Elephas maximus indicus: one gene and its partners. The protein of the gene in region 4 purifies or fractionates together with the protein of the main gene of each other region. This does not show direct contact. Links are inferred from orthologs where the notes say so. Each region holds a gene or a part of one and is shown on either strand. Other genes may lie near its edges.

Region 1 (7,262 bases), on a different chromosome or scaffold from region 4:
CACTAGGATAGAAGTCTGGAAATAAAAACTGGAATTAACAAATATATAAACAAAACAAATAGAAGCAAAAGAGTTTCTGTCAGTTTGTTATACTGTAGTGGCTTGAGTGTTGCTATGATGCTGGAAGCCATACTACCAGTACTTCAAATACCAGCAGAGTCACCCATGGTGGACAGGTTTCAGCAGAGCTTCCAGACTAAGACAGACCAAGGAGACAGGCCTGGCAATTTCTTTCTGAAAATCAGCCAATGAAAATACATTATGGATTGAAGTGTGTCTCCCAAAAATGTGTGTTGTAAATCCTTACTTCTATACCTGTGGTTATAATCCCATTTGGGAATGAGTTGCCTTTATTATGTTAATGAGAAAGGATTAGTGTGGGGTGTATCTTAAATCAATCTCTTTTTAGATATAAAAGAAATTAAACAAGGAAGTGAGAGAAGAGATATTGGGGGAAGAGAGATGCTAAGCCACACAAAGATCACCTAGAAGCAGAAGCTCAAAGAGACAAGGACCTTCCTCCAAAGCCAACAGAGACAGAACGCCTTCCCCTATACCTAGCACCCTGAATTTCAACTTCTAGTCTCCTAAACTGTGAGAAAATAAACTTCCATTGTTAAAGCCACCACTTGTGGTATTTCTGTTACACCAGCACTAGATAACTAACACACGTAACAGAACATTGTCTTACATAGTACAGGCAGATGAGCCCTTCAAGCTGGAAAGCACTACACAATAGCCACAAATGGACTCAAACACACCAACAATCAGGAACATGTCCCAAAACTTGGCAACTTTTTGTTCTGTCGTACACAATGGTGCCATGAGTCAGAGCCAACACAACAGGAAATAACAAACATAAAATCACAGCGTTGGAGAACACGGGCCTTGTAGTCTGACAAGTCTGGCTTTGCATCCCTGCTCCGCCATGTATTAGTGGTATGACCTTGGGCGAGTTACTTCCCTAGGCCTTGGTGTTCTCATCCGTAAAATAAGGACAGTAATAGCATCTACCTTATAGGATTGTGGAAACAACTGGTGGTACAGTTGTTAAGTGCTATGGCTGCTAACCAAAAGGTCGGCTCCTTGGAAACCATATGGGGCAGTTCTACTCTGTCCTATAGGATCACTATGAGTCAGAATCGACTCGATGGCAATGGGTTTGGTTTTTTTTTTTTTTGGTTCATAGGATTGTTACAAAGATTAAATGAAATAATGTGCTAAAAGGACATTAGGTACCCAATTAAACATGCGCTCTTATTACAAATTTGATCAGATATAATCGATCTATAGAGAGAGATTCCTGATCTTTCCAACTCCATAGCACCACTCTTTTTCTCCTCCTATTCTGTCCCTTTCTGTTTTTCCTTTCTGCAGTCTTCTGGTTAGAAGGAAAAAGCTGTGGACCAGCAGTCGGGAAGTTTAGATTCTAGGTCAGGTCTGACAGCAACTCAGATGTCTTTTCACTTCTCTGTACTGAGACCCTTCATTGTAATAATCTTTAATTTAAAAGTTGCTGTAAGGAAGAAAGTGCCTTGGAACATAGAGGGTGCTCAATAATTCTTATTTAAAGGTCAGTAAGGTAAGGTACAGTGCTACGACTGATAACCAAAAGCCTGGCAGTTCAAATTTGCCAGGCGCTCCTTGGAAACTCTATGGGGCAGTTCTACTCTGTCCTATGGAGTCGCTATGAGTCGGAATGGACTCCACGGCAGTGGGTTTGGTTTTTGGTTTAAGGTATGGTGGAAAGAGGATGGGCTCTGGAGCAAGGCAGACCTAAATCTGAATTCCACTATGTTACACAGTTAACCTCTCTTGAGCCTGTTTATTCATCTGTAAGATGGCAATAATACTAACTACCTGATAAGGTTTTCATGTATATTAATAATATTTAGTCAAGTACTGAGTTAAGAATTAAATAATGTACAGAATGTGCCTAATCCAGTATCTGACACAGAGAAAGTATTCACTTTAATGCCGCCTCCTCTAACCACTGTTTTTAACCTCGGATCTCTATGGGTAATTCAGAAACTGTGACCTCTTGAAATTGCATGCAGAAATTTCTGTGCATGATTGCACTCTTCTGAGGAGAAAGTCCATAGATTTCTCACTTCCATAAATATATCTTAAGGAAATAACTGAAAATAGAGAAAACAAAAGCTGAAAATGTTATCAATTGAGGAATTATTTTGCAGTAGCGAAAAAATGGTAACTTCAATCTAGGGGTGGAGTGATGGTTAAATTATAATACAGCAATACAACAGATTATGAAGCCAGTAATAAACCTAATCACAGCTTGTGTTGTTCCGAAAGTTAAGAACCAGTATTCTACTAAAGTACTTTCCATTTCTAAAGTTTTGTGATTCTTTCTATAAAGCTCTAAGAACGGGATTTGGTGGAATACTAACCTCAGTGCGAACCAACAACTCAAGGCCACCGTAGTAACTCAGCTTTAACCTAGAAATCTATCCATCCCAGCCCAGCTGTGGCAACGCGCATCTCGTACACGGGTAGCTCTCCCCGCAACATTGCAGAAAGGGCAAACGAACCGACCGCCTCCTGGCGCCCCCTCCCGCCAAGAGGTAACACGGAAACCCGGGCTAATCACCGCTCCAGGGCGGCAGGGAAGGGGTCCCCTTCTACCCAGGTTTTCTTCCCCACGCTTCCCTCCTCTCACAGGCAGTTGTGATCCCCAAGGACCAGGTGATCCAGTCAACACCGATGGGCCTGCAAAGGGACTTGGGCAAAAACAGAAGGCACCCCCCCCGGCAGGCTTGGCGCCCCCCCTCGGACAGACAGGCTTGGCGGTCCTGAGGAAAACCGAAGCAATACTGATGCACGGGAGAAAAGGACGCCGATTTCTGAGAGCAAATCATGCGGAGCCCTGGCAGAGACGAAAGGACACAAGCCTCCACTCTCCCCCTTCCTCAGGGGTCGCTACTCCCCTCTCCTCATCCCGGATTCGGGGCGGCTTTACCTTTTCTCCGCTCCAAGTCTTGTGAAACCCCCTCAGCAACACCGTTTCCGAAGAATTCCCGCCTCCCACCCCTCGACTCCCAGCACCCAATCGCCGAGCGAGTTGACAGCCAATCACCCATCTAGAGCGGAAATCAAGCGACCAATCCTGGCGCAAAAATAGTCGGCGGGCGCGCTGAACACCCAATCCACGCCTCCGAGATAAGAAGAGCCCCAAGATACTTGGCGGCACCGGAAGGTAAATCAGTAGAAAAGTGAGCTGCAGCCGCAGATATTTGGGCTTTGAAGGGAAAGCGCTTTCTCCGCTTGACTTTTGAAATCGGTGATTTCACCCCGGCACCAGCTTCCTTGGAAACCCGAAATCTCACTCTTAAAGTTTGTAGAGCAACGAAAAGGAAACGCCTTGCCGAGTTCTCTGAGCATTCGTTAGTGCCACTCAGTTTAAATTTCCGAACTTGACAGTAGCTGGAGTATCAAAGACTGTGAGGCAAATTAGGCGAAACGGTTCTAAGACAACTGGCTACAGTATTCAAGCCTTAAGTCTCCGAGGCTTTTCCCGATGGCCAGATTCCGCTGGGGGCACGCTCTCGACGTCTCCAGTCCCGGATTCCTTCTACCTCCACTGTGGCTTACCCACCTTCTACCCCTCCGGAGACCAGTTTTTTCTTTGCCAAGACGTATACAAAGACGAGGATAATCATGATCTCGCCAAATGATGCTTATTTTTAAAAAGTATTTTTTGTACAACCTAAACTGAGGGCAAATACTGTCGTTAGCTGCTCTGGAGTCGGTTGCGCCTCACAGGGAGCCTGTGTACAACAGAACGTAACACTGCCCGGTCCTGCACCATCTTCGCAATCAATGTTTGAACCCCTTGTTGCAGCCACTGTGTCACTCCAACTCCTTGAGGGTCTCCCTTTTTCACTGACCCTCTACCAAACATGTTCAAATACTAAACCAACAAAAACTAAAAAGGAAACCTTGGTGGCGTAGTGGTTAAGTGCTAGGGCTGCTAACCAAAGGGTCAGCGTTTAGAATCCGCCAGGCCCTCCTTGGAAACTCTATGAGGCAGTTCTACTCTGTCCTATAGGGTCGCTATGATGTTCAAACACTGGTGCCCCACAAAAACAGAACCTGACACAGCCTCTCAAATTTAAGTAACTAGAGTTTGAGGAGGGGAAGGTTCCTGGAGCAAGGGATGAGAAGAAGGCAAGTTGATCTGTTTGTCTTAGTTTTTTTCTACATCTTCTCAAAACGTCAAAACTTGTAGTCATAAAAATAAGTTCTATCCTTTCACCTAATAATCTCAGTCCCAGAAATTTATTCTAAAGTAACCTAAAAGTGTTCATACCTCAGTTGATAGTAATGCATATTTGTAATGCTGAAAAAAAAAGATAAACTTCCCAGAATAGTGATGGTGAGATGATTGTGATTATGAACTCAATAGATTATAAAGCCAGTAATTATAAAAGCTAAACAACTTGTAGGGAAAAATTCCATGTAAAGTTAAATGGAAAAAAGCAGACTCTAAACTGGGCATTAGGAATTTAGTTATGTGAAAATATGTATGCATAAACAAAGATGAATGGAAAGTACAAAAATGTAGTTTACCGTTAGGCCAGTGGAAGAATAATGCCATTGATTTATAATCCATTAAAATACCTTCTCTGCTTTCATAAATTTTTTATACATCAAATCCTTTAAATAACTATTCCAGGTAACTACTATAATTTTCCTTTCCTAAATTCCTAAGGCTGTCAACTGGCTTTAACCTGGTATTGCCATTTAATGTATGTGGCATAACGGAAAGAATACACATAGGCTCTGAAGGCAGACAGTCCTAGATGCCGGTCCCTTGAACTGTGCTTTCAGGTTAACAGTAGTGGAATTAAACACAACAAAATTACAAGTTCATTGATAAAGAATATGAATGTTTATAAATCAATATTCAAAATAGCTGCACACATCTGTTTTCACTTGAATAAAAAAATCACATTATGACAAATTTTATAACCTTAACTTAAAATACATGAATATTAACATTTACTAACATATTTACATATTTTTACATCAACAAATCTGAAGAAAAACAGGATATGTTACTATTTTAACACAGCTGGTTTTGACCAGTCTTGGAAAGTTGATCCAGGAATGTGCACTGCATTTAGTTAGAAAACATACTTCAACCTGTTTTGAACTCCTAGAGGACACCTACTCACACAGAATATTCCAAGGCCCCAGTTTAAAAAAAAAGAAAAAAGGAGCAGTTTTATTTAACCTTAAGGGACTACAAAACTGCTTTGTTTAAAAATATGAAAAGTCTTATGGTGTTTTTTAAGTGTATGCTTTTATTTTTCCCATAAAAATTAGTTAATTGAACATTAAACATCTACTAAAAGCTATAAATATTCTGTCATGTATGATACTTCATGATTTGAAACAGCTACAAACTAGTTCTTATATAACACCCTTATGAGGTAGGGCCAGTAGTGATCCTATTTACAATGGAGTCAAGTAAGATGTTACTATTCACTAGTTTAAGGTTGAAGTTAAATTTGTTTTCCTAAAAACCACATTTTCTTATTACCTGCCCAACTTACTTACTTACTGTTATTTTCAAAACAGTGAAGAGATTTGGTTTTTTTTGGGGGGGGGGGTCATTAAGGTATTTCTCAGAAAGCAAAGTACCTGAAACACTGGACACCTAATTTTTTTTTTAAATGAGGATTATAGGTTACCTGAATACCTCTACTTAATCAATAGAAGTTACCAGCAGAGGACTGCAAAATCTATTGGCAAGACGGTATTTTCCATATTTTAATTTTTCCTGAGGTTCAACACTATATATATTTTCCTACTCAAAGACCTTATCAAAGTAAGATATGAATTATAATCCTAATGACAAACCAAGAGCTCTTTAATCCAATGAGTTTTATTGCTCTAAATTGTTTATTTTCCCTCTCTGAACATTAGATAAGTTAATCATTATAAAAATAATTAAAAAAAAAAAAACTAAATGAGATCTTTCAGGTTCTTTGCACAAAGATGATTCTTAAAATCCCAAATTATTCAAGTATCTCCTTAAACCTATGGCTTCATATATTAGTAAACTTGAAGCAAATATGTAAAATCTTTAAGTTCTCATCTGTAATTCCATGAAAATCATTATAAAAATTATTTGCCTTCTTTAAAGCCTTCTCAACACTGTTTATTGAGAATTGGAATTCCATCTTGCATTACTATAACTTGCACTGAAAGTCTTGGAGACTTCCATTTGGGTGTTTAACTCCTAGTTTTTCCTGAATTCTCCCTTCCCTTGATCCCTTCTCCCTGCCATCACTGCAGCATTGTAGCACTCTGTTAGAAGCTGAAAGTTAAAATAAACACTAGGGCTACCCAAAGACTCATTTTTATAAGAAATCAAATTAAAGGCATGGAAGTCTTTCTTCACTTCTAAATCTAAACATGCCAGATTCACTTTGCTGTAATGAGTTTCTTAAATGTGCTCCCAAGGGGGGTAAAAAAAAAGAAAGTTCAGCTGCTACAGTATAAACATACCAGCAAACTAGATCCAAAGAACTGTCAGTCATATACAGGCAAGCATAATTCTCAGAGAGTTCTATTCATGTTGAATGGAATCATTTTAGTGATTCCAAGATACTACTATTCCCATCCAGTTTAACATTTGTTACAAGATGCAGACTCATGTGGGTATATGCAACAGCTTCATTTTTTGCTTTAATTTTTTTTTTAAATTCCACTAACACTCATGTTTATTATTTCAATTATTGTGCTTTCAATACAATGACAGAGCTGCACATCAGGATCCATGCTTCCAGTGTCTCTAGATCCATTTTTATAAGATGGATCTTTACAGAGTCCAGACCATCCACTTGGTTTCTCCTTTATTTGTTGAAGACCTAAAAACATAGGAAAGAAAAATAAATTAAGGCAAGAAATCTGGAAATGATTTTGGCCCTTTTTTTTTTTTTGAGATATTAAGCTAACTCTTGAGAAGAAGTTACTACTTACGTGTAATAATTGGATCGATGTCTCTTGTCTGAGTGGCCACATCAGAGGCACAGACTTGCCCTATTTGGATCAACAAAGACATAATATCCTCATACAATGGAGGAAATGCTCGACAGAAAGAAACCAAACTTGGCAGAGTTGGCATGAAAAAAGCGTATCGCTTGGCTTGTGTTAAAACTGTTGGAAAGAAGTGAAACAGAATTTTTTACTTTACAGATATCTATATATACAGATATATATACAATATACTAAGC
Region 2 (7,225 bases), on a different chromosome or scaffold from region 4:
TAAACAGTAATCAGTCCAGACTGGAGAGGTCAGAAATCTCCAGGAGAAATGTTTTCAAGATGAAACTGACAGACTACCTGATGGATCTGAATATATTGGGAGATGAAGACAACTGGCAAAGAGTCTGGGGTTGAATTTATAATCTAAATTTTAAAGTAATAAAATTTACATTAGGAGCATAATAAATTAGGCATGGGAAGGTTTTGTGTGTGGTGAGGGTAGAGGGTGAGGTGAAAGAAAGCTAAATCCTCATCTGCCAGGATGGACAGTCAATATATAATGCTTAAAATGGAAAAATGAAAGAAATATAAGCAATGTTATTTAGAGACATGAGGCAAATAAGAATCAGCTAAAATAAAGTGGTTGCCTCTGGGGAGCAGAAGCTGATGGTAAAGGTGGGAGACTTTTTCAAAATGCCTATAGAACTACTTGATTCTATAAACTATTGGCATATATAACTGATAAAAATCACAAAACACATACCAAAGACCAAACCAAACCCACTGCCATCAAGTCAATTCCGACTATTAGCAACTCTGTAGGACAAAGTAGAACTTCCCCATAGGGTTGCCAAGGCTGTAAATCTTCACTGAAGCAGACTGTCACATCTTGTGGAATGGCTGGTATGTTTGAACCGCTGACCTTTTGGTTAGCAGCTGAGCACGTAACCACAGTGCCACAAGGGCTCCTTACAAAACACATACACAAAGGTCTATAAATGCCTCTCTCGGCACAATAAGAAAATGATACTTTTTTTTCCTCCTTCAGTGGGACAAGGAAGCAGAATGGCATCCTGGCCCTTCTTTTGAGACTTCAGTTTTATTCTTCAGTAAACTGTTCTGAAGCATTTTTGCTGCCTGCCTTTCCTTATCTCTTCTTTTCCCCTTACTCTGCAGGTGGGAGACAAACCTGGGATTTAGAGTCAGAAAATCTGGCTTCAAGTCCCAGCTCTATCTTTTAGAAACTGTGGGACCTTGGGCAAACTAAGTTCCCTGGGCCCATTTTCTCCTCTGCAAAAAGATTAAGATTGATATGAGGAACAAGTTAAGCAGCATACGAAAAAGCTCCATACAAAAGTTATCATCCCATGTGTGTATTTTTAAAGAAGGGAAGAGCAATTCTGATTTATTCATGTATTCGACAAATATTTATGGGGTACCCACTATTCTAGGCAATTCTAGGATAGGTCAGTGGCAGGGGGTGGGAGGAGTGGCAGGTTGCAGCAGATCTCATTGAAAATGTGCTCTTTGAGCAAAGACTTGAAGGTGAGGAAATGAGCCAAGCAGATATCTAGAGAAATGTGTTCTGGGCAGTGGAGACAGCTTGAGCAAGAGCCAGTGTAGCTGTAGTGGAGTAAGAGGGAGAGAACGGCTTTTCACTCAGTGAAATAGGGAGCCACTGGAGAATGGTTTTGAGCAGAAGGATCACAGAATCTGACTTGTTTTAAGAGGATCACTCTGGCTGCTGTGTTGAGAGTAGATTTTAGGGTCTGGAGAGGCAAACTGTTAGGTTTTATAGTAATACAGGTGAGACAGAATGATGGTAGCAGTAGTTGGGTTATAGATATATATTATGGTAGGGCCAAAGGGATTTCCTAAGGCAAAGAATGTGGGAGTGTGAGAGAAAGAGAGGAGTCAAGAATAACACCAATGCTGGAAGAGAATATAATACTTTTTACTCTCTCCCTTAAACCACGTTGACGTCCTCATTTAGTCTTTTAGCCAGATACTAAATTTTTTTGTCCTAGTGGGAATGTAACCAATTCGCTCCCAAACGATTTCCAGTCAGTAATGTAGAATGTCAAAAAACAAAGAAGATTACCAGTCTACCTGCAAAAGCAGTTAAGTAAACATTATGGGTCCTCAACTTGAATAAACTCTAAAAATTTATATCAAAGGCTGGGGCACCAACCCATCCTTGGTTTGAAAATAAAACAATACATAAAAATGATTTCTTACTCTGTGGGAATATACTGCACCTATATCAATCTTGTATGGATTCATTTTCTGCATCTCTTTTTCCAGCTCACTCTGGTTGTTGAAGGATTGGTAGCGAATGTAAATATCATCTTTCAATGTGAATGAAAATTCACGGTGTTGAAAGTAATTCTTTATCACTGCAAAAGAAATTTACATTTTAAAGCTAATTTGGTACCTTACTCAGTTCAGGGCATTATGGCATTTGAGAAATGAGAATACAGTTAGTGAGCCCCGTGCCCAACACTATACTAGATGTAAAAAAGAAAGGGAAAAAAAAAAAAGGGACAAGAGAGAGTACCTCATTTGAAGGGATGTATCCTTCCGCAACTGTTAGGGAAAAGTAAAGTGAGCAGAAAAAATGCAGAAATGTTAAAAATCTAACGCCCCGGTAGGCATTAATAAATTAAATCAGCTGCCAAGAGGATAGTACTTCTCCTCCTCCCAGAGACGCTCTTCTGTCTCTGATACAGATCACGACTCTGTACCTTCATGCTACAACCCAGTAACCCCCTTGCTTAGGCACCGCGGCAGGTCAACTGGACACCTAAAGTGAGCCTGACCGCGTAGGAGGAGGAGCAGCGGCTATGCCTTTCACTGTGTGTCCGTAGGCTGATCAGTGTAGCCTCTCTCGGCCCCCTTCCGCCTCAGAGGAGGTGAGGAGGGCTCAAGATAATGCACCAAGGCGCCCGGCACAATGCCTAGCTCGCAGGAGGTACTTCATATTGTCATTCCGAGAACATCCCGCCAAGAACCTTCTTACACTGCCCTCCCAACCCACTACCCACCCGCTCTCCGCAGCATCACCTCCGCCATAGTTGAGCCAGCGGTAGTATTGGGCATAGGGAAAGAGCCTCCGGTAATAAATCTTAAGCAGTTCGGGCAGATCGGCAGGGTCAAACACCTCCATGGGGCACGGAATTATGCCAGAGCACGACTACCCCAAGAATTGGCGGGAACTGTAAAAAAAAAGTACAGCCGAAGCTTCCGTCACTGCGCAGGCGCGCTGGGCCCTGCTGGCTGACTGGACCGCCGGAATTTGTAGTTTCTACTTCGGGAATGGGCCAGTCGAGGGGCTCGGCGCAGGCGCGCAGACACTACAGCACCGTTCACGTGGGCGGAAACAGTGTCCGTTCCCGGAAGAACGTCTCTGAAAGGTGAGACTTTTGGTTTATCGACTTAGGTTATTAAAGTGGAGTAATAAAGATATTCCGTTCTAACTTTATGAATGTTTCAGAAAAAACGAACGATGCAGACATTTTTTAAAGAGAGTTTGGAAGTTAGTTCTTTTAATATTTCAAAGAATTGCTGAATTCAGTAGAACACCCAGGAACGCTAAAATATGAATTAGAGAAGCCTGCAGAATCATGGTGAGCTTTACGGGTATGAAAAGAGTCGGTTTGCTACTGATGTGGCAGTTACGCCAATCAGCCCTACTGAATAAAAGATACATCTCATTGCAAATGTGGGTTGCGGTGGGCAGCCTGATAATCTAGTTGAGTATCTTGTCACTTGAAAACCATTATTATTAATATTATTTTCACAGTAATAGTAGGAAAGTCAGGAGAGAATAGAGTCTTTCGTAAATGGATTTATTAGCCTAATCTTGAAAATGATCATCACCCCCCAGCTTCTGTGGGCAAGTTAGTCTGCAGTGGGCTCTGGGCAGATCATATTTTTTAATGTTGCCAGAAATCTGGCTTCCTGCACAAATCTTGATTGTTAATTTTCACAGCCCCTATGCATCCTGTTTTGGGTAGGGTCAATTTCAGAGCCTTTAGGGTCTTCACTTTTCCAGTAGTAATAGGAATGCTTTGCAGAGTGGTCTTTCTGGAACCACATCCACCTTGGACTGTTTTTATTCTTTAATTATGAAACCTGTGAGAACCCGAACTCAATGGGATTGCCTTGTTTTTCCGGGTCTTGCAACTTTTCCGTCTCTGACAGGGTGCAGTCTTACCACTTTTCTCTCTCTCATTTTAGTGGAAAGTATTTGAGTTTTCCTTTGCTGACAGGTTTTCACCTTATACAAGTTCTGGCTTTCGTAGATTTTACTGTATAACAGAACATTTATCAATTCAAAATTTTTTACATGTACAGTTTGGTGATACTGATTACATTCTATCATGTGCAACCAGCACCATGATCCATTTCCAGATTATTCCACCACGATTAACAGAAACTCAGTGCCCCCTAAGCCAAGACTTCCCCTCTCTCCTGCCTCCTACCCTTGGTAACCACCAAAAAAAACCTGTTGCCGTCAAGTCAGATTCCAACTCACAGCGACCCTATAGGACAGAGTAGAACTGCCCCATTGGGTTTCCAAGGAGCACCTGCCTAGTGGATTTGAACTGCCGACCTTTTGGTTAGCAGCTGAACTCTTAATCACTATGCCACCAGGGTTTCAATCTCTCTAAAAATGGCATGGGGGCGGCGTCTAACCTCTGATTTCACAAGGAGGAAGGAGAATCATGATCAACAGCCCAGGGCTGATTCCTGTGAGGTGGAGGTCACACATGCCTCCACCCTCCACCCTCTTCATCAATTCTCACACCAACTGTCCCTCCCATGGCACTCCCTACTTCTTTGCTGAGTTCTATAATTCATTGACAATGCTCAGGATTATGGGTTTATTAGGGAAGTGACAGGTTACAATTCAGGTTCAGGAATGCTTAGGATACAGTTCTTCGATCAGGACAGCCTCTTCCCAGCCATGCCTGCCTCTCTCTGGCCCCTTGCCCACTGCCCTGCTTGGGCAAGCATTATAAAGTTCTTTTGGCCCCTTAGGCTCTACCCTGCTTGGGCAAGTGTTACAAAACTTTCAGCTCTGCTGATAAGTGCCCCGAGGCACACCACTCTGCCAGTAAGCCCCTGCTGGAAGGCTCACCTCTAGCTCCGTGGGTCACAAAGGAAGCACCCAACTTTGCCAGCAAGACTCCTGCTCAAAGGCACTAAGCTTTCTTGCTCCGTAGGCCTGGAAAGCCTACTGTGCCAACTCCTGCCTTTGTTTCTCTGCTGCCACTTCTCGCCATCTTCATGTTACAGCTTTCTCTTTCTCTTTTTCTTGGTCTGATTCCAGGAGCTTCTTAGCATAGGGATCCCAGGTCCACAGGATGTGCTCCACTCCTGGCTCTTCTTAGCAGTGGTGAGATCCTCTCCTCCTGCCTCTGGGATGGCTCATCTTAAGGCTAGTGGGATGGCAAAACTGACCAGTCCTTTTGTTAGTTTTCCATAGACCTCATTTGCATGGTCCCACCTGCACAGGGGTGCCATGAACTTTATTTGCATTATTAGCAAGCTATCCAATCCTCTTGGTGGGCCACAATTACCTTATTTGTATACTCTCACCCAGTTACTTGGGTGGGAGATACAAGACCATGGTGAGAAAGGCCATATGAAAGTGATCCATTGCGCTGCAGTCTCTGTGCGTTTGCCTGTGTCATGTAAGTGGACTCAAACAATATTTGTCCTTTTGTCATGGACTTATTTAATTCAGCATAATGTTCTTAGGTTTCATCCGTGTTGTAGCATGTATAAGGACTTCATTTCTCTTTGTGGCAGAATAATATTCCATTGTATGTGTGGATCACATTTTGTTTATCCATTCATCTCTTGATGGATATTTAGGTTATTTCCATCTTTTGACAATTGTGAACAGTGCTGCGATGCGCACTGGACTTTTAAATGGAGATTTCTCAGCTTCCCATCAAATGGAAATTTCTCATCTTCCTTGTTGCTACCTTTAGGAACTGACTTCTTTAGGCTCTTCAGGAGTCCCCTATTTAAATTCCAGGGTTGCTAAGGAGGACAATATCTTAAGTAAGGAGCTAAGACATAAGGGGAGAAGGGAAAGGAAGTTATATTTATTGAGTTCCTGCTATATGCTTGGTTTGTTTAACATTAGTTTTCTCATCAGGAAAAAGGGAATAATAATAGCTAATATTTATATATATATTTAATATTTATATAGCACTTACTATGCCATCAGGTACCATTTTAAGAATTTATTCCTTATAAGAATCTATGTGGTAGGTGTTAGTATTATTTCTCTTTTACAGATGAGGAAATAAGCATAGAAAACTTAATTTGTCCAAGGTCACAGCTAGTAAGTGGGGAGCCAGACAGCCTGGCTCCAGAGCCTGTGCGTTTAACCCCTAAGCTACATGCTGAGTCTGCATGGGGTTGTTATGAGAGTTAAAGGAGTGTCTGGCACAGTCCATGACTCAGAGCCACTCAATGTGAGAAGGCTATTTATTCCTTAAAGGTGTTCTGTCATGATTTTTTGCTGTTGTGTTGATTTTGACTCATAGCGGCCCTGTAGGACAGAGTAGAACTGCCCCATAGGGCTTCCCAGGTAGTAATATTTATGCAAGCAGACTGCCACATCTTTCTCCCATGGAGCACCTGGTGGGTTTGAACTGCTGATCTTTCAGTTAGCAGCTGAGTGCTTACCAAGGTTCCTTGTGTTCCGGCATAGAGGCGTTTATCCCAGACGCCACCAGGAGGCAGTATTGGCATTCAGTTTGTTTCCCATTGGGATTTCTAGGCCACCTAGGTGCAAAAGTCCTTTCTCCTTCAAGCCTTGTACTATCTGGCTTTACCATCCTCTTTAGCGTTTTTGTAATATCTATCAGTCCCAGGTCTGTCTCTCCAAGTTCTTTGCAGATTTGGACACCTACCTAATGGACTTCCCTTCCAGTTCAGCTCCACCTGTTATTCTGGGTGTTTTTAGCATCTAGAAGGATGATCTCTTCAATAAAAGTATGGCTCATTCAGCCACTCTTTAAGTCATCTATTTACTGCACAAATAGTTTATAAACATATGTGGGCACTTTGCCAGGCTCTTGGGAGAAAAATTTAATGATGAGATGCTTTCTGCTCCCAAGAACGTTATAGTCTAGTCAGAGCAATAGACACAAATCAAAAAGTGCAGTGAAGTGTTATGGATGCATTTGTAACCCAAACGTCTGTTGGCATCAACATGTTCCTTATGCCTTGGATAAGATTGGCCCAGGCTCCCAGTCCACAATTTGGAACATGTCCGGTGTCATCTCCTTGATTTCTGCAAACTGGTAAGCTTACTTTCTCATGGCCACCTCTGGCTCAGAGCTCCTGCCAGAACAGAGTTATTTCAGTTAAGAAATCACTTGTCATCCTGCACAGGTTATCCTTTTACTGGAATAAACGGACCCAGATATTGAGTGCACCTGTTCCCATGATTTCCACACCAAAAACCAAAAATAACCCAG
Region 3 (7,028 bases), on a different chromosome or scaffold from region 4:
CTTTCGAAGCTCAGCCTCTAACTTACTCTGGTATTCCTCACTTCCTTTCAAATGGCTCAAACCAAGATTTTCAACAGACTTTAGCACTAAAAAAAGAAAGAGAAAAAGGACATCAAGGGAAGATAATTAAAAAAATAATAATCCAAAACAAATAAAATCTAGGATCCTTTAGCAGTTCCACAATTGCTTGTTTATAAAGGACACTGTAGCAGTTTTATTTTCTGCAAGTATGTTATATAAATTATATACGCTTGTAGAAGGATAATCTCGGTCTACTTGCAGAAATTATCCATGTCCCACAGCATCCAGCATTATCTAATACCATGTCTTTTCAACCAGGGAAAAGGGAGGAATGGTGGATAATCACTGCAATACTAAGCCACTGTTGATAAGGAAAGGAATGTACTCTTCAGGTATATCAAGAGAGAAAGGAGCTTAAGCACCACTGTTTACATCCTTCATGTGGAGCTGTCTATTAGGGGTCTGTTTCGTTTACTTACAAGAGACCAAAAAATAAAATCCTTTCTTTTCTTATGCAGAGAAGAAGCAGACACAACAGTGAAGACGCAAGGCCAGCCAATCACCCAAAAGAACAATTCTGAATAAATGTCACCTACTAGTCAAAGGTTCCTCCTAAAGCCCCTTGTCCATTTTCCCCAAATGAATTCTACTTCCCTCAATAGGATTTTTTTTTAATTCAAGAACGAAAACCTTGCCTTCTGTACATGAACTCACGTCCCATAGGCAACTCCTAATTGTCTCAAACCAAATTATCTTCCCCTCAATCTTCCTCCTCCTCTTGCATTCCCCATTTTCATATAAGCAGAGTCTCTATCCACCAGATCATTCAGGTAGGAACTTCAGCCACCTCCCACCTGCTCCCTCACTGTTTACATCCAAACTGTCACTAAATCCTACCAGTCATAACTCAGAAAGTATCCCTAAATCTCTCCCTATCACTGTCATTGTCAGTACATTAGTTCAGGCGCTTACCATCTCACCTCTTAAGTGCCAAACCCAAGGAACGCTTTTCAATCATTTTAATCCCTATGAAGCATCTGGCTCTGTTACACTTCCTTCCTAAAACGCTTTTCTTCCACGCCTTCACTCTTTAATTCAATAAACAGGTACTGAGTGCGCCTCTCTCTATACTAGCAGTTCTCATCCTACTCCTCCAAGAATGATTACCAGTATCTCACCTCTCCTTTGGATTTTCCCACAAAGATATGATGGGACATAAGTATGAAGATAGTACTAGTATTTCTGCCTCAGTTCCTGCCTAACTCACTCCTTTCATCCATGCTGCATCCTTCTTACACCGCAATATTATACAAGAGCATGGCACAAGATACCACCATTATTCATACTTCTTCATCTACCCTGAAATTGTCGCTGTTCCCTCAAATATTACATTCTCTTTCATGCCTCTAAACACTTGTACAGGCTGTTACCGCAGCTTGGAAAAACCCTTAATTTCCTCTCTGTTAGGAAATTTCTACTCATCTTTCAAGGTCCAGATCACATTTCAACTTCTCTAAGAAGCACAGATAATCAGACTAAGTCAGTCATTCCCAACTCTGTGCTTCAAGAACTGTTAGCACTACTATTTATCTCTACTGGAGTATTTAAAATTTTGAATTATGATTATTATTTTGGATGTCTGTCTCCATGTACAAGGATACAGCTTCAATGAAGATGGGAATTATAGTATTCATCTCAAAATCTCTGCCATCTAAAACATGCACTCAGTAAATAAGCACTGTACAGTACAATGAATGAATAGCAAATCCTCAGTAAATATCTTCTGAATGAACTGCTGAAAAGGGGAAAAAACTTCATTCCCATAAAACGTAAGTGAGCTTCTGAAGAAAATATGAATTCTAATTTAAATATTACTCACATTTAACTCTATCAATAGCCAAGTTTTCAAACTCTATCAAAGATATGTTTTCAGATGGCGGCTGGAGGTAAAACTGGAGGCTATGAGGGTAGCAAGCATTTCTCTGGTCACCTGCCAACTTCAGCTTCCTCCGATTTCCTCCAGAAAACTCCATCTTGGTTACCTTGGAAAGAAGCACATAAAAAGTTACAAGAAACAAAATAATCCCACATGCACAGAAAAAAGTCTGAAGTTGAAGAGCATGCACAAAATGTTAATAGTGGGTATCCCTCAGTGATGTTTTGCTGTATTTTCCAGATTTTTCTACAACTGTGATAATTTTGTGATGGGGTGAAAGGGGGGGAAGGTGAGGGAGATTCAGCCTGGTGATCCTAACTTCCAGCAACATGAATGTCATGTGACAGTGCCTGCTGACAACTGGTCTACGTGCCACCACCTTATAAGTCTCAAGAGGTGAGGTTGTACATGTGCTGCAGTCCCGAACTCAGAAAAATGACTTGATGAACCAGGTACAATTACTTCCCCATCGTATGACCTCGAGAAATAAAACTGTCTTTTGAAAATCCTTTTAGGGATTTGTGGAGGCTCCCCACTACCCAATCAGCAAGGTACACACGGGCTTACCAGTGCTTACGTACTAATCTGTAGTGCACAATTTCACCTTTTTCACATCAAAGATGTGGTGAAATCGTGCACTACAGATTAGCAAGTAAACAAAAGCAAGCCTGGGCGTACCTTGCTTACTGGTTAATCCGCCCCTAATTTTTTTTTTTTTAAGAGGGAGCCTCCACAAGTTCCTTTATGTTCCCACTCCGATCCCCTACCACCTCAGCGAAGCCATCTCCACTCAACCCTCACCGGTGCCCGCGTCTCTGCCACAAACCAACCACCAAAACCCCCATTCCCGACCGATCAGTCCTTCTGCTCCCACCGCCCGCAAAGTGCTCCCCTTTTCCCCTTGACTTGCAAGCCTCAGCACCAGGATTGCTCTCCGTTCTACAATACGCAGGAGTTTCTCTTACCTGAAACCACAGCAAGCATGAGAAATACACAAACGCTGACACTTATTCCTTCCCTGGTGGCGGGAGAGTTCGTATGGAGCCGGAAGCGGAAACAACTGGTACACAAGGCCCGCCCCCAAAGGTCCCGCCCGCTCAGCGTGGGCTTTGCGCATGCTCAGTGCGGTGCTTCTGGGAGCTGAAGCTGTTTGGTCAGCTTTGAAAGCTCAAAGTTTTTTAAGTACGAGTGTATTTGAAGATTTGGAGGCGGGGAGGTTCCCAAATTTTAAGGCGCACTTCATGCATGCGGAGTTGGTAGCTTTTAACAATTGAAACTAGGCTGAGAGAATACTAAAGGCAAAACTACTACACGCTAAAGAATGAACCAATATAACTTCGTTTGGACACTCACAAAGATTGCATAAATTAAGGAAAATGTGCTCTAACAAGCAGTTATGGCATTCATCACTTTCAATCTGGGAGAAGAGTGGAGGAAAAAGGGGCATTTACTGAGCTGCTTTTTTGCAGCCAACTCACAAAAAAAAAAAATTAAACCGCTTACCGTCCAGTGGATTAGGACTCAGCGACCCTATAGGGCAGAGTAGAACCACCTCAGAGTTTCCAGGAAGGGTCTAGTGGATTCGAACTGCTGACCTTTAAGTTAGCAGCTGTAGTTCTTAACCAGTAGGCCTCCAGTGTTTCTGCTTCTAGGGGTTGTATTTTTTTCCCATTTAGTCTTTCAGCGGCCCTATAAAGTAGTTCATATTACCCCATTTTGCACATGAGAAAACTGAAGCTAAAAAATAATCGTTAGTTTGCCCATCGATGTACAGTACATATTTTTTCTATTGGGCGGCAAGCCCCATAGGGGCAGGTTCCACTTTCAGTTCACCTTTAGTTTTCCCCACAGTGCCTCGCACATAGTTAAGCGCCCAACAAAACACCCGTGGAATGAACTAAAACGATTGAATAAATGCACACGTGCAGAAATCGCTCTGGGTCTACAAAAATTGAGATAGATCAGGCTAGGAGAGAAGACAGGATCAAAGAAGTGGCAAGTGCCAGGAAGAAACTGGATTCACCATGAACTTTCTGAATCTCACACTGCAGCCTCAGAAGCTGCGCATCAGACCCACGCCTAGCTCTCTGGCTACTATCAGTAGGATATTCAAAAGCTGGAAATAAACTTCACTGGTGGCCTCTAGAAGGCTGTCTCATTTACAAAAGTGGTAGAGGAAGGCTCTGGTTAAGTCCTTGGGGGTGAAGAGTGCTTTGAAATGTTTGAGTCCTTAGAAATGTGGAATATATTGAAACAATATCAGGCTTCAAAGCACCTATGGAGCATGGACCTAACTGCATATGACAGTGCTTTGTACAGGACCTATTCTAAGTGATTTTACCCATCACTTCATTTTATTCTTATAATGTTATGAGGTGGGTTCTATTATCAAAACCATTTTAGCACCTGATCTCTAAAATCTACATGATTCTGCTAAAACTCAACCCCAAAAAGACAAATAACCCAATTAAAAAAGTTCACTAAAGAAAACATTAGGTGACTAACAGATACATGAGGAAATGCTCTCGATCATTAGCCATTAGAGAAATGCAAATAAAAACTACAATGAGATTCCGTCTCACTCCAACAAGGCTGGCATTAATCCTAAAAACAAAATAATCAGTGTTGGAGAGGTTGATGGAGAGACTGGAACACTTATACACTGTTGGTGGGAATGTAAAATGGTACAACCACTTTGGAAATCAATGTGGCACTTCCTTAAAAAGCTAGAAATAGAACTACCATACAATCCAGTAATCCCACTCCTTGGAATATATCCTAGAGAAATAAGAGCCTTTACATGAACAGATATGTGCACACCCATGTTCATTGCAGCACTGTTTATGATAGCAAAAAGTTGGAAGCAACCAAGGTGCCCATCAACGGATGAATGGATAAATAAACCATGGTATATTCACACAATGGAATACTTCGCATCGATAAAGAACAATGTTGAATCCATGAAACATTTCATAACACAGAGAAATCTGGAAGACATTATGCTGAGCTGAATCAGTCAATTGCAAAGGACAAATATTGAATAAGACCACTATTATAAGAACTGGAGAAACAGTTTAAGCAGAGAAGAAAATACTCTTTGATGGTTATGGGGGGGGAGGGTGGGAGAGAGGGAGAGGGGTATTCATTAATTAGATAGTACATAAGTTTCATTTTAGGAGAGGTCAACACAAATGGACTAAACCAAAAACAAAGAAGTTTCCTTAATAAACCGAACACTTCAAAGGCCAGTGTAGCAGGGGTGGGGGTTTGAGGACCATGATTTCAGGGGACATCTAAGTCAATTGGCATAATAAAATGTATTAAGAAAACATTCTGCATCCCGATTTGGAGAGTGGCGTCTGTGGTCTTGTACGCTAGCAAACGGCCATCTAATATGCATCGATTGGTCTCAACCCACCTGGAACAAGGAAGAATGAAGAACACCAAAGACACAAAATAGTTATGAGCCTAAGAGACAAAAAAGGACCACATAAACCAGAGACTACATCAGCCTGAGACCAGAAGAGCTAGATGGTACCTGGCCATAACAGATGACTGCCTTGACAGGGAACTCAACAGAGAAACCCTGAGGGAGCAGGAGAGCAGTGGGATGCAGACCCCAAATTCTCATAAAAAGGCCAGATTTAATGGTCAGACTGGGACTGGAGGGACCCCAGAGGCCATGAACCCCAAACCTTCTGTTACCCCAGGGCAGGAACCATTCCCAAAGCCAACTCTTCAGACAGAGATTGGACGGGAATAAGGGATGGAAAATGACACCAGTGAAGATCAAGCTTCTTGGATCAAGTCAACACATGAGACTATGTTAGCCTCTCTTGTCTGGAGAGGAGATGAGAGGGCAGAGGTGGCCAGAAGCTACCCGAATGGACACAATGAGAGAGAGTGGAGGGACGTACTGTGCTATCTCATCAGAGGGAGAGCAATTAGGAGTGTATAGCAAGGTGTATGTACATATTTGTATGAGAGACTGACCTGATTTGTATACTTTCACTTAAAGCACAATAAAAACTAATTTTAAAAAAACCATTTTACCAAAATGTCTACATATTTTTATATGTATACATATATATATATATATTTTTTTTTTTTACTGATAAGGAAACAAAAGAAAGAGAAGTTAAGTAACTTTGAAAGGTCCCATAGTAAGTGACAGAGCCAGGTTAGAAGCCAGGAAGGCTGATCCCCAGGACTGCAGTACTAACCATCACACTATAATAATTCCATTAATATGACAGCAGAACCTCACCTTCATTCCTTCCTATCTGTATCAGACACATAAGTAACACCAACTGGTCCAAAGAAGACAACTGAAAGCGTGTGAGCCTGGACTTTGAACTGACTCAATCATAGCTGACGAAACAAAGCTAGAGGACACCTGAATTTTACAATTTGGGTGACTCAGAACCATAACCGGGACAGGAAAAATTATGCGTCAAAACCCTGGAAGGGGAGACTCACAGGTGGTATAGTGAGCAATTTCAGGAGCCTGATACATAAAATTGGATTATTGCCAGGACTGAGGAGAGCAACTCACATCCAAAGCAGCATGGTAGGACCACCAGATCTTTGAGATCTTTGAGGAGGAACACAGTTTTGCAAAATGGAAGAACAGGCAAGAGATTTGGTTGCTACACATTGCACACACTGCCCTTGCTTTCTAAGAAAGACGTTAGCTTTCTAGCAGGGCTTCAACCAGTAATTTTTCCCATTCTGGTTATGGTTCTGGTTCACACAAATTTTTAAAATTCGAGTCTGTTCCAGTGTGGCTTCCTCAGCCATGATTGAACTGGGAAGAACCAGTTCCAAGCCCTGATATGAGCTGCCTGAACAAACCTGGAATGCAGACCTTAAGAAAATTTAAATGACCTTGCAGGATTTGCCTGAAGAAGTAGGACCTACACCTGAGGTATCCAAACTTATTAAATATTACCCTTCTCCAAGTGTGGTCTCAAAACAGCAATGGGGACCAGCTTGACAAGACCTCTGAGCTGAGACAGGGCATTCAAATGGTGTCCAGCACTTACTGATGACAGATGACTTTGAATTTTGC
Region 4 (7,693 bases):
TGACTTTAAACCACACAATACCCCCTTGATCTATGTACAGGTTCCTCATGAGCACAATCAAGCATCCTGGAATTCCCATTCTTTGCAAGGTTATCCATAATTTGTTATGATCCACACAGTCAAATGCCTTTGCATAGGCAATAAAAGACAGGTAAACATCTTTCTGGTATTCTCTCCTTTCAGCTACGATTCAGCTGACATCAGCAATAATATCCCTGGTCCCGCCCCCTCTTCTGAATCCCGCTTGAATTTCTGGCAGTTCCCTGTCGATATACTGCTGCAGCAGCTTTTGAATGATCTTCAGCAAAGTTTTACTTGTGTGTGATATTAATGATACTATTTGATAATTTCCGCATTTGGTGGGATCACCTTTCTTGGGACTAGGCATAAATATAGATCTCTTCCAGTCGGTTGACCAGGTAGCTGTCTTCCAAATTTTTTGGCATAGATGAGTTAGCACTTCCAGGGCTGCATCCGTTTGTTGCAACATCTCAATTGGTATTCCGTCAACTCCTGGAGCCTTGTTTTTTGCCAATGCCTTCAGTGCAGTTTGGACTTCTTCCGTCAGTACCATCGGTTCCTGCTCATATGGTACCTCCTGAAATGGTTGAACGTCGACCTACAGAATCTTAGGTGAGCTAAATTTAAACTAGATAATAGTTTAAGCCATTTTTCAGGCATAAACAAAAAGGTAAGTTTTACGAACATGTTTATGATAACTTGACAGTTCTTATCAAGCTGTCTTCTCAAAGTGTGCTCTGAATCTGAAAAAATCAAAAATTGTTTCCATAATGTATAAATGTGAAAAAAGAGTTAAAAATGACACTGACACAGTAATGTTCTTTATCTTTACAGTGTAGGATTCTGGATTATACAAGTATACGTATTTGTTGAAATGAGTAAAAGAAAAAGATACTGCAAACAAATACTGAACTCTAATGATATGCATACTGAAGTACTTAGGGGAAGTGGTATTTGTTGAAATGAGTAAAAGAAAAAGATACTGCAAACAAATACTGAACTCTAATGATATGCATACTGAAGTACTTAGGGGAAGTGTTATTTATATCTGCAGTTAAAATAGATGGGCAGTTACATGATAAAGCAAGTATATTAAAATGTTAATGGTAGCTCCAGGCAGTGGGATATGTCTGTTCTTTATAAAAATCTCTAGACTTTGCTGTATGTTTGAAAAAAATTCATAAATGAAACACTGGAAAAAATGGCATTGATAACACACTGTACATGTTAAAATGTTGTAAGCACTAACACACTTAGCGGAATGGCAGCACCGGGCATTTACTTGCTCCCTCACGCTTCCATTTCGAGGGCACTGGGTTTCTGGTCACGCTCCCATGGAAACCCTGGTGGCGTACTGCTTAAAAGCTATCGATGCTACCCAAAAGGCTGGCAGCTCAAATCTACCAGGCACTCCTTGGAAACCCGATGGGGCAATTCTACTCTGTCCTACAGGGTTGCTATGAGTTGGAATCGACTCGACGGTAATGGGTTTTGCTGCTTCCGTGGTACATGAACATACTTCTTATGCCCCTTTTCATGTCTACTGCACTTACTCTATTTACATGATGTCCCTCCCACCACAATATGAGTTCCTGAATGGCACGAATCTAATTTATATTTATATTCTTATTGCTTTGCATAATGTTCGGTTAATAATATGTGCTCAAAAATGGTGGACTGTTTGAATGAAAGTGGAATATTGCTAAGGATCAAACAAAATACTCTTTCTAGCAGATGCACTTTATTCGCTTCCCACATATTCTAAAAGTTAGTATGTTCAGTTTTCAAGAGAACGTTAATGTCCTTTACTCTCCCGCAAACATGCAAGATTTCCAAAGACTTTAAAAACGTTACAAACTCATCTGTACTCACGTGATTAGTTTGTATTCTATTACTTAAACCCGAAATCTGAAGCCCTCCTAATATTTCATAATTTTTCCGTACATACATTTTCTAAAAGAGCAGTCTCAAAATTCCAAATCAAAACCGTTACAGTTGAGTCGATTCCGACTCATAGCGACCCTATAGGACAGAGTAGAACTGCCCCTTAGAGTTTCCAAGGAGCGCCTGGTGGATTCGAACTGCCGACATTTTGGTTAGCAGCTATAGCACTTAACTACTAGACCACCAGGGTTTCCCAAAATTCCTCTAATTTGTTTTATTCAAATCTTAGATAAGCTGTCAGAACTAAGAGATCCCTGAATGGGTCAAATGCAGGAAACCGGACATCTAGGTAAAAAACAAAAACCACGTAAAAAAGTCGTGAACCAAATTAACCAAGAACTGTACCAAGAAACTGCGGGTACTGTGAACATGTCAAGCTCCCCCTTAGCCGGGCTTCTCTCCTCCCCTTTCCAATTACAGCCAGTCAGAGATGGCACCGCCCGGCCGCTCCCAAGATCCCACGCGACTGGAGCTGAGGCAGCGGTGGGAGCATCCTCTCACGTCAACCTCCCAGAGACAACGTGCTTTCGTGGCGTAAGCACCTGATTCTGAACTGGAAGACCCAGGTGCCAGTCCCAGCTGCCCCACCTGCCTAACCCGTGGCCCTGCACAGGTCTCTTCCTCTAGCTAGGCCTCAGTTTTCTCATCTGTAAAATGGTAATGATTACCCTAATCCCGCCCGCCGGGAAAACGAGGAGCGTAAAGAAGATGCAGGAGACTGTCAGTTTTGTTACAGCTTTTAAGCACGCGGTGCTCCCCACCCAGCCTCGGTACCAGTCTTTCACAGTCACCTCTGTTCCTCACTCCCTTCCCGCCCGGCGCCTGTGTTGAGGCCGCTCCCTTCTGCTGGCCCCATGCGGAAGCCGCGCGGCGCCATCTGCCGTACCTGCAGCGACCTGGTCAGCGGGACCCTCCTGCTGACCCATGACGAAGTCGTGCACGAGGCCCCACAGGGCGCCCGTAGGCGCCACCGCCTCCAGAGCGGCGGCGGCGGCCATGACGCGAACTAGGGACCGTGGGAGGGGAAGTAGGCGGTGGGAGGAAACGGATCTTTTCGCGCATGTGCCTCATGAGCCAATCACCGGGCTAAGGTGGAGGGGCGGGGCGCTCCCGGGGTCACGTGCCTGCCGGCTCCTTGCCGGGCAGGTCCAAGGAGGGCTGGGACAGCCCTCCTTAAGGGGCGGGGCCTGGGGTCGGGGCGGTGGTGCGGGGTGGGAAAGCGGCTGCTGGGCACCCAGGCGGGGGCCATTGAGGCCGAAAGACTCCCTGCCTGGCTCCCAGGGGACTGGAGATGGGGCGGGCACCTGGCTGGGTGGGCCCCGGGGGCGGTACGCACCCCGCGAGAAGCCAATGAGAAAATCAGGCCCGGCCCGAGGGGGCGGTGCCGTCGGTCACATGCGCACCTGGGGCGGGCGGTGGCATCACCCGCACCGCGGGCCGGCGGAAGGGAGCGGGGCCGGGCTGGGGCGGGGTTAGGCAGGTGAGTGACAGGCTCCGGGGGGACGGCCTCAGCTGGGAGCCCTGAGCGAGCCCGGAGTAGCTGCGGTGGTGCCCGCCCCCTCTCTCCGCCCCTCCGGCGGAGCTGGTCTCCGGCCGGGCACCGTCGCGGACCCCCCTGGCCCGGCCACCTGGGGCCGTGCTGGGGAGTCGGCCACCTCCCTCTCTCCCCTCGCCCGCAAAGTTTGTGGCGAAGCCGGCGCTGGGCAGAGCGCGCCCCCGGGGGGGAGACCGGGGAGCGCCCGATGCGGGGCGGCAGGAGCCGTTGACCCGGGACGCCGCTGTCCGAGGCAGGAGCGCGGAGCAGCCGCCCACCCCGCCGCCCCCGGTGCATGGGGCCTGGCTGAGGAGCCAGCATGGGCAACTGCGTGGGGAGACAGCGCCGGGAGAGGCCGGCCGCCCCGGGACACCCCCGCAAGCGAGCAGGTAACGACGGGGAAGGGAGCAGGGCCACGGGCACCGTGCCAATTGTCCCCCTTCCTTGCCAGAGTCCCGGCGTCTCGAGCGACCACCCACGGCTCCTGGCGCCTCAGGTTTCCCCGATGGCTGCTCGGGAGCCATCCCCAGCTCTGGGTGGCCGGAGGAGCTGAGTTGGGGAAACTGCGAGCGCTGACCCGACTGCTAGACCAAGTCGCTCCAGCCGGGAAGCTCTTGGTGGGGGTGGGGGCAGGAAATGTTTGCAGACAGCCACAGGGCCGACGGAGGGGAGGGCCCGGGGCGAGGGCGCCGCTGGCCTGGCACCCGGGCCGGGGTCGGACGACTGCCCGTCGGGCGCAGGCAGCCGGACGTCCCCAGAACTCGGAGCGAGCGAGGCGAGAGCAGTCAGTCCTTCCAAAGACTGTCTGTGTCATTATCGGGCTTGCAGATCGTGTCTGCAAGAATCCGACTTGCAAAAGCAGCGCAGGACTCTGGGAAAGAAATCTTTATTTTCCCGCAGGGCTTTTTAAAACCTCCTGGCCGTCTTGGGGTCTAGGAAATGTGGGGTAGAGGGGTGAGAATCTCCCTCGGGTTTGTTGAGATCCTTCCCAGCCTTGAGAATGGGATCTGCTCGCTGATGATCCGCGAGGGCCAGGCAGCGCCTTCTCATTTTCTTAGTACACCCCTCCTATCCTGGCAATTCGCCCCGGGAAGAGGTCTGGCCGCCGTTTCCCCAGGGCTTGTACTCACTTCCTTCTCTAAGAGTGTTGCAAGGACCTTCTGAGAATGATAAAATCGTAGACTTAAGAGCTGAAGGGGACTTTAGAAACATGTCTGGATTCCAGATAGACCTACCGTCTTCTCTCTATATCCAAAAGCCCAGACCCAGAGAGGTTGAGCAACTAGCCCAAAGCCACACAGCGTGTTAGTAGCACAGCTAGGGCTAGAACCCAGTTTCCTCTCCACCCAATTGCCACATAACATTTATATAAGAGGAACCACAGGGGAAGTTGTTAATGAAGTGGAAACTCCAGCTGGAGTTTCCTGTCTCCTTTGACGCCAAAGGTGTGTTGCTTGGGGTGCGGAAACTGGGAAGGAGGATGGGGGAAAACATGGAAGAAGCAGGGAAGGATGTCTGTGTGGTGGACAGGATGACTTGAGGAGGAAGAAATGTGTTTTTATAGAAAGAATGGGGTAAAACTTAAAATCTTCTTACCTGAAGGCAATCCTAGCCATTCTTCTGAGAAAGTTGACTCTGAAACAAAGGCTTCCTTCCTCCCTTCATTCATTCAATAAATATTTATTATTTATGTACTTGTCCTATTAATTGATTTTGTAGCATTTTTCACTGTGGACAGCCGTCTCCTACTTGCAACTCTCCTTCCTTCCTTCTTAGCATTAGACTGGCTTGGTTTTCCTCTCTGATCAACCTGCCCGCCAGGTATTTCCTAGGGGTGGGCATACCCGTGGCTTCCTTTGACATTCTGTTTTTTCTCTCATGACACTCCCTGCCAGAGAAATCTTATTCAGTCCCACAACTCTTTATCCACTGAGAAGATCCCTGTGCTGTTACCTTCTACTGTTACTTCTCTCTTAATCCCCACTTCCACCTCTCTAAAAGACGTTCATATCCTCTAGATATCCTGGGAGATTCAACATCTTTTAAACTAAGTTCTGCCATCTCTCCCCCTCAGTCGGCTTCCCTTCCTTACTCTTATATTCTCCCAGCTGCCTAGGTTTGTACCTTGTCTCCCTGCTGATTTTCTCTGCCTCCATGTTCTCTGCCTCCCAACCAGCTAGTCCCTGGAGTCTACTGGTTCTTCCTTCAGCAGGACTTATAGACCTGTTCCTTCCCACTCTACTTCAAGGCTTTGTCACCTCAAATCCAGTTCCAGTCTCAAATTGGCTCACCACCAAAGGCAAGTTCATCTTCAATCATTCATTCAATGCAGAGTACTTGCACACTGTCGTCCCCCAGAAGGAGTTTAATTTAATCCACTGGTGTCACTAGAGGGGTTCAGGGGATGCAGACCACATCTGGTGACACTGTCAGAGGGGTGACACCAAAATGACTGTCTATAAAGTTTTTGTGGAGTGTTTTAGCAGAAATATATTGTTTTAAATAAAAATATTCCTGTAGTTAGATATAACAACAAAAACATTTTTTGTAAGCCCAGCTTACATGTATCAATGTGCCTACAAGGCTAAAACTCTATGCTTATTTACTTTTTGAACCTTCTAATGCTCTCTGGGAAAACCCTGGTGGCATAGTGGTTAAGAGCTACAGCTGCTAACCAAAAGGTCAGCAGTTCAGATCCACCAGGCGCTCTTTGGAAATTCTATGGGGCAGTTCTACTCTGTCCTATAGGGTTGCTGTGAGTTGGAATCGACTCGATGGCAACAGATTTAATGCTGTCCGGAGCCCTGGTGGCTCAGTGGTTAAGAGCTACAGCAAGCTACGGGTTCTAACCAAAAGGTCAGAAGTTCGAATCTACCAGCTGCTCCTTGAAAACCCTGTGGGGCAGTTATACTCTGTCCTATAGGGTTGCTGTGAGTTGGAATCGACTCGATGACAACGGGTTTAATGCTCTCCGGAGCCCTGGTGGCTCAGTGTTTGAGAGCTACAGCAAGCTACGGGTTCTAACCAAAAGGTCAGAAGTTCGAATCTACCAGCTGCTCCTTGGCAACCCTATGGGGCAGTTATACTCTGTCCTATAGGGTTTCTATGAGTTGGAATTGACAGCAATGGGTTTGTTTGTTTTAATGCTCTCCAGTCAGAACTGTCATCATTACCCAATTACAATGATGCTTTGAATCACGTGGTTTAGTCTGGACAGGCTCCAGGCATGCGCTGTTGTTTTTGTTGCTGCCACTGTTTCTATAGTAGCTGATTTTGTCAAATTTTCTGGTGATTTAGCTACAATATTGTGGTAGTTAGTATTCGTGAACTTATATCAATAATTTTTTTGAGAATGAAGTAGTAATTAAAGGAAAAGAAAGAGTGATACACGGGAATTACGATTTACAAGTTAACAGTACAAAAAACATTATTGTATGGTCTGGTACAGGAGGAGGTCAGTGGGTTGCGGGGGATGACACCATGAGTTACCACATTAGATGACACCAACCCTAGGGACGTCACTCATTTATCCTGTTCCAAACCCTATGATTCTGTTTTCAAAAATGTGTACCATCCTGCTGTCTACAAGAACTTTGGCTTTCAGGGCTATTCAAGTCTTGCCCTTTCAGGACCTTTTTTTTTTTTTTTTTCTCCTCTTCCCTAATATTAAGACCACCAGTTTGTGCCATTTCCCCTTTCTTATCAAGAGCCTTCTTCACGTCAAGGCCCAGCTCAAGTCCCATTATCTTCTTTGAAACACTTTCCCTGACATCGTCCCCCAGCAGAAGTGATTGCTGCTTCTGAGAACTCCTGCAGATGCATTATCTATGCCACTTAACAATTACTTACTCCATGTCATTAGTCCTGACTTTAATGTTTACATTCTTAAATCAGCAACTACATGGCAAGCCTTGAAGACCTGGGTTCTACCTTATTCTTATCCATGTGTGTCTCTGTCTCTCACTCACTCACACACACACACATCACTTAGCACAATGACCAGTACAGAGGAAGCAATCAATATTTGTTGATTTTAGAAAGCTAACCAGACTTAGGAAACCCTGGTGGTGTAGTGGTTAAGTGCTACGACTGCTAGCCAAAGGGTCAGTAGTTCAAATCTGCCAGGCGCTCCCTGGAAACTCTATGGGGCGGTTCTCCTCTGTCCTATAGGGTCACTATGAGTCAGAATTGACT

What was found.
Region 1: the proteins of MMS19 (region 4) and BRIP1 purify together in Homo sapiens (affinity purification with western blotting; 3 studies listed by BioGRID and IntAct, with this or other methods). This does not show direct contact. The link is inferred for Elephas maximus indicus from reciprocal best matches to the Homo sapiens genes MMS19 and BRIP1.
Region 2: the proteins of MMS19 (region 4) and PRIM1 purify together in Homo sapiens (affinity purification with western blotting; 3 studies listed by BioGRID and IntAct, with this or other methods). This does not show direct contact. The link is inferred for Elephas maximus indicus from reciprocal best matches to the Homo sapiens genes MMS19 and PRIM1.
Region 3: the proteins of MMS19 (region 4) and PRIM2 purify together in Homo sapiens (affinity purification with western blotting; 5 studies listed by BioGRID and IntAct, with this or other methods). This does not show direct contact. The link is inferred for Elephas maximus indicus from reciprocal best matches to the Homo sapiens genes MMS19 and PRIM2.

Annotation. Positions count from the first base shown.
Region 1 is NC_064837.1:33,843,755-33,851,016, forward strand, and holds the start of BRIP1 (Fanconi anemia group J protein), read right to left. Parts: upstream 3,022-7,262; 5' UTR 2,978-3,021; intron 2,495-2,977; exon of another isoform or gene 2,409-2,494; intron 1-2,408. Other genes in the region: INTS2 (integrator complex subunit 2), read right to left, coding at 6,727-6,896, 7,009-7,185. UniProt on the Homo sapiens protein: DNA-dependent ATPase and 5'-3' DNA helicase required for the maintenance of chromosomal stability. Acts late in the Fanconi anemia pathway, after FANCD2 ubiquitination.
Region 2 is NC_064822.1:116,653,883-116,661,107, forward strand, and holds the start of PRIM1 (DNA primase small subunit), read right to left. Parts: upstream 3,002-7,225; 5' UTR 2,887-3,001; coding exon 2,784-2,886; exon of another isoform or gene 2,765-2,783; intron 2,117-2,764; coding exon 1,959-2,116; intron 173-1,958; exon of another isoform or gene 1-172. UniProt on the Homo sapiens protein: Catalytic subunit of the DNA primase complex and component of the DNA polymerase alpha complex (also known as the alpha DNA polymerase-primase complex - primosome/replisome) which play an essential role in the initiation of DNA synthesis.
Region 3 is NC_064819.1:123,099,832-123,106,859, reverse strand, and holds the start of PRIM2 (DNA primase large subunit), read right to left. Parts: upstream 3,023-7,028; 5' UTR 2,923-3,022; intron 2,064-2,922; 5' UTR 2,055-2,063; coding exon 1,901-2,054; intron 87-1,900; coding exon 1-86. UniProt on the Homo sapiens protein: Regulatory subunit of the DNA primase complex and component of the DNA polymerase alpha complex (also known as the alpha DNA polymerase-primase complex) which play an essential role in the initiation of DNA synthesis.
Region 4 is NC_064834.1:49,246,419-49,254,111, forward strand, and holds the start of MMS19 (MMS19 nucleotide excision repair protein homolog), read right to left. Parts: upstream 3,009-7,693; 5' UTR 2,964-3,008; coding exon 2,852-2,963; intron 1-2,851. Other genes in the region: translation initiation factor IF-2-like, read right to left, coding at 3,033-3,273, 3,369-3,796; UBTD1 (ubiquitin domain-containing protein 1), read left to right, coding at 3,819-3,888. UniProt on the Homo sapiens protein: Key component of the cytosolic iron-sulfur protein assembly (CIA) complex, a multiprotein complex that mediates the incorporation of iron-sulfur cluster into apoproteins specifically involved in DNA metabolism and genomic integrity.